Linked DNA regions of Xenopus tropicalis. The protein of the gene in region 1 interacts with the protein of each later gene in a pairwise test. Links are inferred from orthologs where the notes say so. Each region holds a gene or a part of one and is shown in the gene's direction. Other genes may lie near its edges.

What was found.
Region 2: the proteins of mapk7 (region 1) and ube2c interact in binary tests that used the Homo sapiens proteins (3 or more experiments, as listed by UniProt). The two-hybrid records come from large-scale screens. The link is inferred for Xenopus tropicalis from reciprocal best matches to the Homo sapiens genes MAPK7 and UBE2C.

The regions. Positions count from the first base shown.
Region 1 is NC_030685.2:7,117,202-7,124,080, reverse strand, and holds part of mapk7 (mitogen-activated protein kinase 7), read left to right. Parts: coding exon 1-42; intron 43-989; coding exon 990-2,176; intron 2,177-2,706; coding exon 2,707-3,632; intron 3,633-4,326; coding exon 4,327-4,454; intron 4,455-5,456; coding exon 5,457-5,610; 3' UTR 5,611-6,879. UniProt on the Homo sapiens protein: Plays a role in various cellular processes such as proliferation, differentiation and cell survival. The upstream activator of MAPK7 is the MAPK kinase MAP2K5.
Region 2 is NC_030686.2:19,657,143-19,664,789, forward strand, and holds the end of ube2c (ubiquitin-conjugating enzyme E2 C), read left to right. Parts: intron 1-1,906; coding exon 1,907-1,934; intron 1,935-2,581; coding exon 2,582-2,668; intron 2,669-2,991; coding exon 2,992-3,196; intron 3,197-3,848; coding exon 3,849-3,908; intron 3,909-4,472; coding exon 4,473-4,531; 3' UTR 4,532-4,648; downstream 4,649-7,647. UniProt on the Homo sapiens protein: Accepts ubiquitin from the E1 complex and catalyzes its covalent attachment to other proteins. In vitro catalyzes 'Lys-11'- and 'Lys-48'-linked polyubiquitination.

The DNA.
Region 1 (6,879 bases):
CATCTTAAAGCCGTCTGTGCCTTACAACGACTTCAGATCTGTGTAGGGGCCTTTTTATTATGTGCTGCTTGGGGGCAGTGACGTAGTGGGAGGGCCTTATGACCTGTACATCACATGACCAGCAAACTACTTGGTAGGAGGAGACAGAGTTTTTTCTTTTATAGCCTGCCGTAGGGGAGGTTGAACAGGGCCGCCATCAGAAATCACAGGGCCCCTCACAACAAAATTTTCTGGGCCCTCCTCCTCCCACACCCCGACCCTCAATGGCCCCTCTCATCTGTACAAAGGACACAGACATTGGTAGCCAGGGACCCCCTAATACATTGATAGCCAACCCAGGGCCCCCTAAAACATTGCTGGTCCTCCCCCAGTGTCCTCATACTATGGCCCTCCCCCCATTGCATCCTGTTCCCCCTACATCCTCCAGCTTTTCCCCCAGCATCCTCCAGCTTCTCCCCCAGCATCCTCCAGCTTCTCCCCCAGCATCCTCCAGCTTCTCCCCCAGCATCCTCCAGCTTCCCCCCAGCATCCTCCAGCTCCTCCCCAGCATCCTCCAGCTTTCCCCCCCAGCATCCTCCAGCTTTCCCCCCCAGCATCCTCCAGCTTTCCCCCTCAGCATCCTCCAGCTCCCCCCTAGCCACCAATGACAGGGCCCGTAATTCTTTAAATGGGGCCCGAGCTTAAAAACTGTATCACAGCTGGGCCCCCTTTAAAGCGAAAGATCGCCCGGGACACCAGTCCCCCCTGTGCCCCCCTGATGGCGGCCCTGAGGCTGAATGTAGGGAGTAATAAACTGACAACTTAGTTCCCATAGAAATATCTCCTCCATAATAATAGTCAAGCAATTTGGTAAGTCACACATATTTTAATGCCGGTGCTACCAGTAATATAAAATGCACCAATCATGTTCAGTATTCTCCATACCATATAGTTAGGGGGGTTTGTTATGTATATGAGGATCAAGATTCTATAACCTGTTTCCATTTCAGATATGTGGTGTTGGACCTTATGGAGAGCGATTTGCACCAAATCATCCACTCGTCGCAGCCACTTACCCTCGAACACGCCCGCTACTTCCTGTACCAGCTTCTGCGCGGCCTGAAATACATCCACTCGGCCAATGTTTTGCACCGGGACCTGAAGCCCAGCAACCTTCTGATTAACGAGAACTGTGAGCTGAAGATCGGGGATTTCGGAATGGCCCGGGGGCTCTGCACCAAGCCGGACGAGTACAAGTATTTCATGACCGAGTATGTGGCCACTCGGTGGTATCGGCCCCCTGAACTGATGTTGTCTCTCCACGAGTACACGCAGGCCATTGATATGTGGTCTGTGGGGTGCATATTTGCTGAAATGTTGGGACGTAAGCCTCTCTTTCCAGGCAAAAACTACCTCCACCAGCTACATCTCATCATGACTGTGCTGGGCACACCCTCCAGTCAGGTGATCCGAGCCATTGGGGCGGAGAGAGTGAGGGCTTATATCCAAAGTCTTCCCTCGCGCCAACCAGTGCCTTGGGCAACCCTCTACCCCCAAGCTGGCAAGAAGGCTCTGGATCTGCTGTCAAAAATGCTACGTTTTGACCCACGTGACCGCATTTCCGTAGCAGAGGCACTTCGGCACCCTTTCCTGTCCAAATATCACGACCCCGACGACGAACCAGAATGCGTCCCGGCCTTTGATTTTGGATTCGATAAAAAGATTCTCACAAAGGACCAAATAAAAGAGGCTATAACGGCGGAGATAGACGGCTTTCACCGTAGAAGGGAGGGCATACGACGGCAGATCAGCTTTAAACCAGCACTCAGACCAGCCGTGGAAGGGCCCATCGGGGACGGACCTATTCAAGAAGATGCCTTCCAATCGCCACCACTACCCCCACCCACCGAGGGATTGGATATAGAGATGCCCAGTGCCAATTCGGCTCGGGACAAGGCAGATTTCCCAATGGAGTCTCCCCGGGTTGCAGAGAACACAGAGACCATCGATCTCACCTCTCCTGTGGAGAAGGAAGAGACAGAGGTGCTGGGGGACGATCATGAAGGCAAAGAAGAAACCCTAGTGGTTAAAGCTGAACCGGAGCCCTTGCCAAAGCGAGAAGGGGCAATATCGGAGGATACTAAAGCAGCGCTTAAGGCCGCTCTCTTGAAGTCAGCTTTACGGAACAAGAGTAAAGGTAATAAGTGGGACGGGTCTTATGTTTAAGTCATTTGGAAAACAGACAAAGTTTGACTTGGCCATACACGATACAAGTATGATCTTCACTAACATTCAGGGCTCAATCGTCCGATATGGAGGTAGAAACAATAGGAATTTGACCCCCTATCTGATGGTTCAACCCTAAACACTTGCCTTTGTTTGGGCGCCTTCAATCGACGACCTATATCCCAAGGATTTTGCGATATTGGTTGCCTCGTCAATCCACCATACGAAACCTCATTCCATATAATAATATTGGTGTGACCCCCGACCCTAACCCATCCGTTCCTAACCCTACCCTACCCTAATTCACAAACCGGAAGAGGACACCGGCAGTATTAGGTCATGGGGCGGGGAGGACGAGTGGAAGAGCTCACCCCAAACCCACCCACGACCTGCAAGTGATGTTCCGAGGTCGGCCTGAACCCGCACATCACTAGCGTGTATGGCCAGCTTTACTCTTCCTAAATTAGCCCCAAACGCTAACGTGCTTTTTTTTCCCCCCAGATGCACCCACTTCCGTCCCTGAGGTTCCCGAAACCCGGAAACCAGTCACGGCTCAGGAGCGACAGCGGGAGCGGGAGGAGAAGCGAAGGCGGCGCCACGAACGCGCCAGGGAGCGGGAGAAAAAGCAGAAAGAGAAGGAGCGTCGGGAAGTGAAGAAGATAGAAGGCTTCGGAGGCCTGGTGCTGAGCGAGAACGATAAGAATTTGTTGGAACGCTGGAGTCGAATGGTCGACCAGACCCAGCTGCAGCCGGCCGTTCCTCCTGCTCAGATAACCGGGCCCGGTCATTCCAATTCAGCCGTTAACATTTGCACCGTGGCTCAGCCGCTGCAGCAGTCTGTGTTTGGTGTGGCCAACTTAGCTCCTCTTATAGAGGTTGGGAGGCAACAGAACGGTACTATTGCTGCCCCAGCGGTACCGCCTACCATCCAGTTCATTCCGAGGTGTCTGAACCCTTGCGCCGTGACCAACCTGCTCCATTATGTCCCGCCCTCCTCTGCGGGCTTTCAGATTAGTTCCGTTATGCTGACCGCCCAAGCGAAGCAAGACTCCAATCCCATAGCTGCCCAGCTGCCGGCCGATGTCTCATTCGTTAGCAGAGGACAAGTCCTGACCAATAACTTTCCCACGCCCCCACGAATGAATCCCCCTTGGCCCCGGTGTGTAGCTCAGGAGGGCTGGTCTGGGGCAAACAGAGTGGATTGCAAGAGCGTGGACACTTCCCTCTTCCTCCATAAGCCCCCCGACCTCCAACAGCCACAGGGAGGAGTCCCAGGACTTGCATATTCTAATGGATCCGTCTTCCAGAACCCGGAACAGCACAAAAGTTTCCCACCTCTTCCGCCCACGTCGTACAGCAGCGCCAACGCCCCCCAGGCAACATCTCCAGACATCAACTTGGTGACTCAGCAACTTTCCAAATCCCAGGTCAGATCATCGCAACTTTATTCTTACTAAACCCAACCGTAAAGCTGCCCCACTGCGCCCCCTAGCTCTCTGAAAAACGTAATTACACATGGAAACCAATTCACCAATGAGAATTCTACTGACCCAAAACTTAATTATAGATGCAAGAGAAGTGACCAATGAGAATGCTGATTCCCAGCACTGTGTCAGGCCCCTTGCTGGTACCTTACATATAGAGATAATGATGTCATTTTCCCGTCATTATATGGCACAGGAATCAGACATGGGGATAAAGGGACAGACTTGTTCAGTGCTGGGAAACTGTGCTTAATGCTCCCAACTCCAATTGCAGGAACAGAGAACAGGGAGCCGGATTTATACAGATCAGCTGGGATTCTCATTGGAGGATTCTTTTGCATTTCAATGCTGCCAATGCGGGCCCTAGAGAGCTGGGAAAGTTTTATTGTGCAATATTGCTTTAAGAATACAACCCTGATGTTGCTGGACTACAGCTCCCAGAATGCCTCACCCTTCATTATATGTTACATTATTCTGGGATTTGTAGTCCGTTTAGTAACGTTTGCATCTCTGCCATATTCCTCATAATCCCAACCCAAAGCCCCTCCTATCAGGGTGCTCTATACTATGATTGGACCCCATTTCGGGTAGTAGCTGCCATACCTGTAACGTATTCTTCACACTCTGACCCTTTTAGGTTGAAGATATCCTTCCTCCAGTTTTCTCGGTCACTCCGAAAGGAAGCGGAGCCGGGTACGGAGTGGGGTTCGATCTGGAAGAATTTCTCAATCAGTCCTTTGATATGGCAGCAGAGAACCGGGAAAGGTACCGAGACCTGATTTGTTTGGATCCCGTCCCCCCCCCCCCATCTTTGTCTGTATGATTTACTTTGCCTACTTCCAAGCCTCTTTAAATATTTGCCACTCTGGTTGTTTAAAGGTTAATACTTAGGCTGCAGCACCCCTTATTCCCTCCTCTGCCCCCTCCATTAGGAACTGACTTTGGCTCTTGGCTACTGAGCATGCTCAGTTCTTTCAACTCAGGTTACTAAACACACCCTCCAGCCTAGCAGCCAATGAAAAGCTGGCACGGCTGGTTTCCATTGAATCTGCTCTAGCTGTCCTAATCTCCTCTCCAGAGCTCAGCTTAACCATTACAGTGCTGAGACAAAGCAGATATTTTTATCAGAGCAAGTTCTGCCTGTGTAAGCCTGCATTCTTAACTGATAATGTGTCAGAGGGAAAATGGTCGCCGGGTGAAAGCTGCTATATGTTATAGGAAAATGTGATGGTACTGGTGAACGGAGGGGATATATACAGTATAACTGGTGTAGTTTGGGTGGGGGTGGGGTTGCCTGTAGTTGCCATCCTATTAAAGGGCTTGTTCACCTTTGAGTTCGTTTTTACTATGATGTAGAGTAAAATTCTGAGACAGTTTTCAGTTGGTCTTCATTATTTATTGTTTGTAGTTTAGCAAATATTTCAGTTTTTGTTCAGCAGTTTTCCCGTTTTGGCATTTTTAGCAGCAATCTGGTTGCTTGGATCCAAATGACCTTAGCAACCAGGGTGTGGTTTGAATACAATACTGATATATGAATAAGGAGAGGGCCCGAATAGAAAAATAAGTACTGAAAAGTAGCAATAAACAATTTAGTGTAGTTCCAAAGGAATAGTTGAACCACCCCATAAACACTAAAGCCCCAGGTGGCAGTTCTATGTGGCACTTAGATCTATAGATGCTTTATACTGCAGACTGACATTGAGCCGACGCACAGCAGTAGTGCCTTCTCTGTCTTCTCTAATAAACTCCCGCTTTATCCCTTTTCAGCCACGTGGACTCCGCCCCCCTTTCTGCGTCGCTACTGGCCGACTGGCTGGACATTCACAGCATGAACCCGGCGGACATGGCTTCCCTACAGGAGGATCTGCAGCTGGGCTCCCCCATGAGTCTCTCCGACATCCCCGACCTACAGGACACCTAACACGGGGGGAATACAAGGAACCCCTGCACTCTCAGTCACTTGGTTGGACCCGGAGAGCGTGTGGATGTTTGGGCCAATCATACAGCGTCTTCCAGAACTTGCCAATAAACAGTCGGAAAAGACTTGCCAGTGTTTTGTAACCCTGTAAGTGCCAAAATCCAACTTGTCCGTTAGTCCGTGTCGGCGCTGGATGTGAGTGAAACAGAACCAGCCTGGGATTGGCTCCCAGTTCTGTAATAAAAGGATCATGTGACCTCTGCGCTTCATCGTCATTGGTTAGATCGATATTGGAGAAAACACGATGCTCTTGTCCTTTTCTTACTTGGTACCGATACCGACCCGACAGCCCATAATCCCACCCACCCAATGGGCTTCATGTACTGACCTTGCAGTGCATCTTATTCATGGATGGGGCAGAACCCTATTAACCCTTTGAATGAACGTTTAGTATGATGTAGAGAGTGCCTCTGCCGAGACAACTTGCAATTGGTCGTCATTTTTTATTTTGAAATATTACAGCAGCTCTCCAGTTTGGAATCGCAGCAGCCTCGTGGTTGCTAGGGCTCTGTTTAACCTAGTAACCAGGCAGCGGCTTGTAAAGGGAACAGGGATAGGAATAGAGAAGGGCCTACATAGAAAGATAAGTCATATATAGCAGCAACAATAAAACTGGAGCCTCACAAAGCAATAGTTTTCTGGCTGCCGGGGTCAGTGACCCCCATTTGAAAGCTGCAAAGAGAAGAAGAAGAAGGCGAATAATAAATAATGAAGACCAATTGCAAAGTAACTAAAAGTTAACTTAAAGGTGAACCGCCCCTTTAATGCACGTGGCGCACTCAATGCACCGTCGGTTAAAGGGATACGGTCCCAATATGCAGTTTAGTTTAGTTTTAGTGATTTCATTTTTGTTTTAGAAAATGAGTCACTTCCTTTATCGCAAACAGCAGTGCCATTTTGCTTTACGGCAGCCATTCTAGATGAGTGCGGGAGCAGTTTACACTGCAGGATTCTGCTGGGGAAACTCGATTAACTGACGGGTTTGTAACAAACATGTTTTCCCATCCCAGCATTCCTTGTAATGATGCCCATTTCCTGCCAGCACAAAGCAGCGGGCCTGGCACAGAGAGAGAGAACATACGGGCTGGGGGTCAGGGACTATGGAGGAAACAGCAATGTGACCTGGGAAGGATGAGAGCAGGGGAGGGGCAACCCGTGGGGCAGGAAGGGGCGGAGACTCGTGGGCGGTCACTTCTCTTTTATAATGTAAGT
Region 2 (7,647 bases), on another chromosome or scaffold:
GTCAGTCTATCGGACTGGACGACCTTTTGGCTAACAAAGTGTAGTATCGAAATGAGAAACACTTGGTCCTCTGGCCTTTAGGTTGTCAGGCGGAAGCTTGATGAAAGCAGAGGAGCTGTGTTCCCATAAGGGAATGCCTGACATATTTTAGTTGGGGACTTTGCACATGCACCTTCTGCTTAATTATGCTTAACTTAATTTGCCCTGGCAATTAGGACGGCGGGAGGCATTTTTCTTTTTGGCCGCCAGCTGGAGCCTTACCAAGGCAATCCATGGCATTGCACTCGCACACTTCAGCACCTGTCTTGTTTGATTTGTGCACCATGGATTGGTGTCATAGTCCTCTGGGTTTGACCCCAGGCCAAGACCTGATGGGTCTCACACTAGCTTCGGCAAAGGTGGACGTACCCGCCCATGCTGTTCATTGGTGAAAGCCTTGGACACATGAGCATTGGAGCCCAAGCCTTCACATAGGACTCACGCAATGAGTCAATATTATCATCAGCCTGGTGGAGCATGCACAGAAGAGGAACTGGAGATTTTGTTCATTAGAGTGCGTGTCACTGTTGACCTCCAGATTCCCTTCCCTGTATAAAACCATCAGCAAATGGCAACCTTAGTTTATGGTTGCTATAGCTGCCTGCTGATTGTGATTGCACCGATCTGCAATCTTTGTTTTCTCCAGTGATGGTTCTGTCTTCTCCCACTTCCCCAGCTGCCTGCTACTGCGCAGAAATGGCTAAATTGGCTAAATATTTAAGTTCATTTCTAGTATGTTATAGAAAGGCAAATTATAAGCAGCTTTTCAAGTGGTCTTCATTTATTTTTTTTTATAGCTTTTGCCTTCCAACTCTTTGCAGCTTTCAAATAGGGGTCACTGACCCCAGCAACCAAAAAACTATTGCTCTGTGAAGCTACAGTTTAATTGTTGTTGTCAGATTATATTTCTCTATTCAGGTGTTCTCCTTTTCAAATCAGTCTTTCATTCAAATCACACCCTGGCTGCTAAGGTAATTTGTATCCTAGCAACCAAATAGCTGCTGAAACTCCAAGCTGAAAAGCAAAAGCTGAAATAATCTACAAATTTGCAATTGGTCTTCATTTTTAATTCTCAGAATATTACTATCTACATTATACTTAAAGTTAACTCAAAGATGGACAGCTTCTTTAAGATGTAATGGAAGGCAATATGGTGGCCGCAAGTTCAGCTGGCCAGAATAGTTTAAAGCCCAAACAGGGATAAGGTATGTATTGTGTTTAAAAAAAAAAAAAAAAAACTTGGCTATTAGGTTGAGAAAATGTAGATCAAACCAATGGTGACTAGTTAGAGGGTTAACTTGTCCCTCTATGTGCAACAGAACCAATTGATAAATCTCCCCTATATTCATATAAAGCACATTAATACCAAGTGAAGCATAACATCTCAGCTGGTAGATATCCATTATTTACCCATATTGTCTATGACCATAATATTCCAATTCTAAATCACTTAGTCCTTTTGCCATTGCTATAATTTTATTAGCAAAATTACTCTTTGCCCCTTATTTTTACTACCAGTTACTTAAGGAAGCCTATCAATTATGTATACTTATTGTCAATAGCCATAAATATTGTACCGTGAGGCATCCATTATTTATTGCTGCTGTCCATAATGCTGCCTTTATCCCTCCATGGCGAATGCTAGCATCTGTCTCCATTATTTTGGGCTTAACAAGTAAGTTATTAACATTCAAAAAGCCTAATGTCTAGTGACTCTTCTTCCCTTCTGCCGGGATCTGCTGTTCTTAGAGGGCCATGCATGAAAAGATTGCCTGCCAAAGACTGCCACACCCATAGCAAATTCTTATTGTGAGTGTGATTTGTAGCAAAGCTTAAGTGCCCACCTATTTTCTTTCTTCTCTCGTAGGTTACAGCAGGAGCTGATGACCTTAATGGTGAGTGTAAACTTTATGTGCATACAATGAGGATAGTACTTGTGCTTTATACTTTTTAAAGGGAAATTCTGACTTACCAACCAAAGTTTTGTAAGAGCCACACACAACACCAAAACTCTTAATATATATCACTGTAATATGTTCCTTCAAAAAATGAATATAACTTTTATATGCTGAAAGCCATCTGCAAAACAGTTCCTTGCATCATTTGAAATCCTGGCAGGGGAGAAGGGACTAAAACATTGATGTTACAAATTGTAACAACTTTCCAAATTTTACAGACAGCATGTGGAAACTACATAATCCACAATGCATTGCACCGTGGCGTTCCTTTCCTTAATGACATGTTTGCAGGGAATTGTGGGATTTAGAGGATGCAGGCGGTGGAGAGTCAACTACTGTTTTATTTAAATCTCACATTTGTCTGCCAGATCATTAGGAGAACAGGGGGCAAGGCTTATGGAGCCATTCCAAACCATGTTACATTAAAATTCATGAAACTGCTGTGTTTTAAGTTGATCTATATTGCAAAGTTGCTTGAAATTGTTTACTTTTTAAAAAGCTTGTTTTGTATGGGTGGAATTCCCCTTTTAATAAGCTGTTGAGGGTTTTAGGAAACTTGATCTTGTATGTTTTTTCTCCCCTAGATGTCTGGGGATAAGGGAATTTCTGCATTCCCGGAGTCTGATAACCTATTTAAGTGGATTGGAACCATTGATGGCGCAGTCGGCACGGTAAGGCTTCATGACACATTTTGAAAGCTGCTGCCCTTTCAGGGACACCTGATCAAAACCCTTGCCTTCCTTAGTTGCTTTCCATGCATTCGCAGATGAAGCCCTGCCAAATGGTGATTGCCAAGGAATGTAGAAACAACTAATACCTACCAGGCAGAGGTAGTGTGCTGTAGACTTTGCACGCAATCCACAGTTCTTGCCTCTCATCAGCTGCTTTCCATTAATTTAAAAGTTAAAAGCAATGACTGAATTATCTTGTTGAGGTATATTAAGGAGTCTTATGTTGGATATTCTGCGCTAATAAAATTTCTCAATTTTTGTAGGTATATGAGAGCCTGCGCTATAAGCTGTCCCTGGAATTCCCTAGTGGCTACCCTTACAATGCTCCCACTGTGAAATTTGTTACACCATGCTTCCATCCAAATGTAGATAGTCATGGAAACATCTGTCTGGACATCCTGAAAGACAAATGGTCTGCACTTTATGATGTCCGAACAATTCTTCTCTCATTACAGAGCTTGCTGGGAGGTGAGTGAAACACCCTTTAGCCTATAATATATAGAACATTGTAGAATATCACTTATTCAACACCTGGACAAATCAAAAACATTGCTTACTTGAAACTGTTGTTTTCAGGCTTTATTACGGCATTGGTCTTCTGGAAAGATCATGCTTTAGCAAACCTTTGGATATAATGAAATAACTGGAGAAATGCATGCATGTTAAATATCACAAATGAATACACCTGAGGCATAGAGGGGGGCAAGCAATGATTGACAGCTTAGATATTTAAATACATTTTATAACAGGATGTGAGTTTTCATGTTTAATTTGCAATGGGCTTTTTTATAGAGCTTTTTGTGTGGGTGACAGGTCCCCTTTAAACATCCATTGGGAATGATGGTACCAGTCATTTGCATTTTCCACCACAACAAATTCTACCTGTATTGGTTCTGAGAACTGCATCAGGGTAATACTGTAGGACCACATGACACAATGTTCTTGGCTGCTGCTTTTCACACTGTTGCACACCCAGGCCAGGCTGTAGATAGGACCCAAAAGATCACAACATGAGAGTTCAGTATTTAGTAAATAGTGCTATTAGCCTGGGGTCTCTGGTACGTGGATTCACTGGTTGTGCCTAACATATTTTTTTTTTTTTTTTTTCTTCTCTCACCAGAGCCCAATAATGAGAGTCCCTTGAACCCATATGCAGCAGAACTGTGGCAGAATCAGACAGGTAAGTGCTGCCATTAGTCATAACCACCCCCATCTATCCTGCGACATTCGTGAAATATAATGAGCCCCATATTGGCCTGCACAAGGTGGCAAATATCTGCCTTTTGGTGACTTTGCCAAATGAGCAGATCTTTAAGTTGTGTGACTGCATGTACTCTACAACCTATTTGCAATATGCTTTATGGATAGAGTGGTGTGATTAGCACTGGAAGGGAGGCACTTCCCATACTAATGGTGGCCTTTACACCTTAAAATTACCCTCCGTTGATGATCAGGGCTGAATTGTAAGATATGGAGGCAGAAACAATTCAGCCCTAAATGCATATTTTGCTCGGGTGCCCAATCAATCTTTTGTCCTGCTGATTGGAGAGATGACCAACATCCAAAGCTTTTGTGATATTGGTAGTCTCGTCAATCAACCATACACACGACAAACACGGTTTTGTACAATATCTGTGCGTGTATGGCCAGCTTAAGTATTCAGTTCAGTATTTTGGAACAGTTGCTGCAGTAGATGTATTGGGATGGTGTACATGGCTTTGACGCTGTACTTTATTTTTTCCAGCTTACAAGAAGCATCTCCACGAGCAGTACCAGAAGCAAGTCCGAGAAAAAGACATCTGACCACCCCCTCCCCCCACACCCTTTCCTATTCCATTTGCATGTTGTGTGCTGTACATGTATGCTGTAATATATGCTTAACTTAACAGAAGTTTGTACAAATAAAGCTGTTTTATCGTTTTGCTGTGTGGTTAAAATCGTGCGTGGTGCATACTAGGAATACAAGTAATCTTAAATTTTGGGATAGTCCTTAAGATAGCCACACACTTTTCTCTGCCCAATTGGCTACCCTTGTACCGTGCCAAACTGGGCTGCTTTCTGGGCAGATACCAGTTATGTTCATAAGTGTTAGGAGTGGCAACTGGGGTGGTATTTTATTTTTTGTGCTGCTAATGTATGTATAATTTTATTTATAAAGCACCACAAGCGCTGTACAGTCTTATAGAATACTAATCCTTGTTTCATGTAACTCAAACATATAATATAACAGCATTCTCAGGACTTCTGGAAAATTTCTAGAAAAGCTTTATTCAATGTTTAATTTCAAACATGAGACTTCATTAAGGCTCATGTTTGAGCTGAAATGTTGACTAAAGCTTTTCTAGAATCTTAAGTCCTGACAATGCTATGTTTTTTTTTTTTCGTGTGTGACCATACCGGAGTAAAAAGCAAACAGAGAAAGCTTCTAAAGTTGAAGATAGCAACTGCCATTTTCAGTAGCTTTCTAGCTGCAGATTCTGGCCCAGGGGATTTTTCTGAGATGGAGTCAGACACCAGAACAACATGTGTATAAAATAAGACACCAGAAATCCTGTGTTTCCTTTGATTGAGGACAGCATTTCTGTGAGTTCTTATGGCTGTATTTACTTAGACCTTTCTGATAAAGCTTACTTAATTTTTACCTTTCCTCCTCCTCTAATTGACATGCGCCTAAAGAAAAGATCCTGGTGGGATATGTACATATAAATGGAATGTGCTTCCTGTGATAAGAATTCACTATATTATAAATAAACATGGGGGAGCCAGAGCTGGAGGAACTTAAAAATCCTCTTTAACAGATTGATTAGTGAAAGCAGATCTAGGATCCAGTTTGGTTCCCACAACAACAGACCCTGGCACCAATATGGAAGGGAATGTTTGCAGTGTAAACAATGTTCCTATGTCATTAAAACCTTGTGTTTTACACCCCCTTACTTGGGAAGAATATATGAGATTAATGGTTATTACATCTTTCATCTTTGTCTCAGACCATGTGGCTTACCTCATAAAGTGCTCTTGTGTGTTACTGTGTGTAGGGGAGATTAGTCGCGCCACAACAAATTTCTAAATCGCCAGTGGGATGGAATAAGCGGCACCGCAATTTGCTGAAGTTGCCTTGAGAGGAAACTTCAGCGCCGCGTATGCAATCCCAGCGGTGATTTAAATTCTAGCCGGTGGGATGGCATAGCGGGGAGATTAGTTGCCCGTGGCAATGGAGATTTGTTGTGGCCCTAAAGGGGTTGATCACCTTTGAGTTAAATTTTAGTGTGATGTTAGAGAGTGATATTCTGAGACACTTTGTAATTGGTCTTCATTTTGTATTTGTAGTTTTTTAGTTCATTTTAATTCAGGGGCTATTTGTTTGCTAGGGTCCAAGTTACCTTAGCAACCATGGAGTGGTATGGATGAGAGACTGGTATATGAACAGGAGAGGACCTGAATATAAATGTGTTATAAAGTAACAAAACTGTAGCCTTACAGAGCAACAGCTTTTTGACTGCTGCGGTCAGTAACCCCCATTTAAAAACTGAGTTTGGAAGAAGGCAGCAAATCAAAAAGTATAACATAAATAATGAAGACCAATTGAAAAGTTGCTTTGAACTGGATGCTCTATAACAGTGCTGTCCAACTGGCGGCCTGCGACCCCCCTCTGTGTGGCCCCCCACCTGTCTGGCTGCTTTGATGGCTTACCTTTGAGTAAGCATTAAATGGTATCAGTACTGAGATTAACTGGCCCCCTGCATGGTTCTCACCTCAGATTCAGGCTGTAATCCATCTGTATTGTTTAAAAATGTAATCCCCTATGTTTTTCACACCTTTTAGTTTCTGCATTGTTCAACCCCTGCAGTGTTTACACCTCAGGCTCAGACTGTAGTCACTCCCATTGTTCACTTCTTCACACCTCAGACATAGGTACTGTAGGCAGAGTATGGCACATACAGCCAGCATAGGGCAGGTAGAGTATGGCACACACAGGCAGCATAGGTCAGGGTGGGTATGGCACACAGGAAGGGTAGGGCAGGCAGAGTATGGCACACACAGGCAGCATAGGGCAGGCAGAGTATGGCGCACGCAGGAAGGGTAGGGCAGGCAGAGTATGGCACACACAGTAAGGGTAGGGCAGGCAGAGTATGGCACACACAGTAAGGGTAGGGCAGGCAGAGTATGGCACACACAGGAAGGGTAGGGCAGGCAGAGTATGGCACACACAGGAAGGGTAGGGCAGGCAGAGTATGGCACACACAGGAAGGGTAGGGCAGGCAGAGTATGGCACACACAGGAAGGGTAGGGCAGGCAGAGTATGGCACACACAGTCAGGGTAGGGCAGGCAGAGTATGGCACACACAGGCAGGTTAGGACAGGCACAGTATGGCACACACAGACAGCATAGGACAGGCAGAGTGCTGCCTGTGTGTGCCATACTCTGCTTGCCCTATGCTGCTTGTGGGAGGTGAACCTGGCAGGGGTTTGTTGTGGGAGTTTGTTAGCAGTTGGAAATAGCCATTAAATGGTCCCAAAGGTGTGTAATTATGTACTGGGGGTTGCTCTGCTATCCACAGGGGAGGAGGAGGCATATGAAATTTAAGGGTATATCTTAATATGACATAATTCTTTCACATATGAATGATGGTTGATATCCCCACAGTAAGGACCAAGCATTTGGGATTTTGCTGTGCTACCACCATTGTGATAAAATGGGTGTGGTTTGAAGTGGGTGTGGTTTCAAAAAGGGGAGTGGTCAAAACTGGCTTCCATTAGCGGCCCTCCACCATGTATGCTAGAGAAATTTCGGCCCTCTGCACCGTAGAAGTTGGACAGCACTGCTCTATAATATACCAGAAGTTAACTTACAGATGAACCACCCCTTTAAACAATTAAACCAACCATCATAAATTTACGATAAGAACTAATAATCCGAG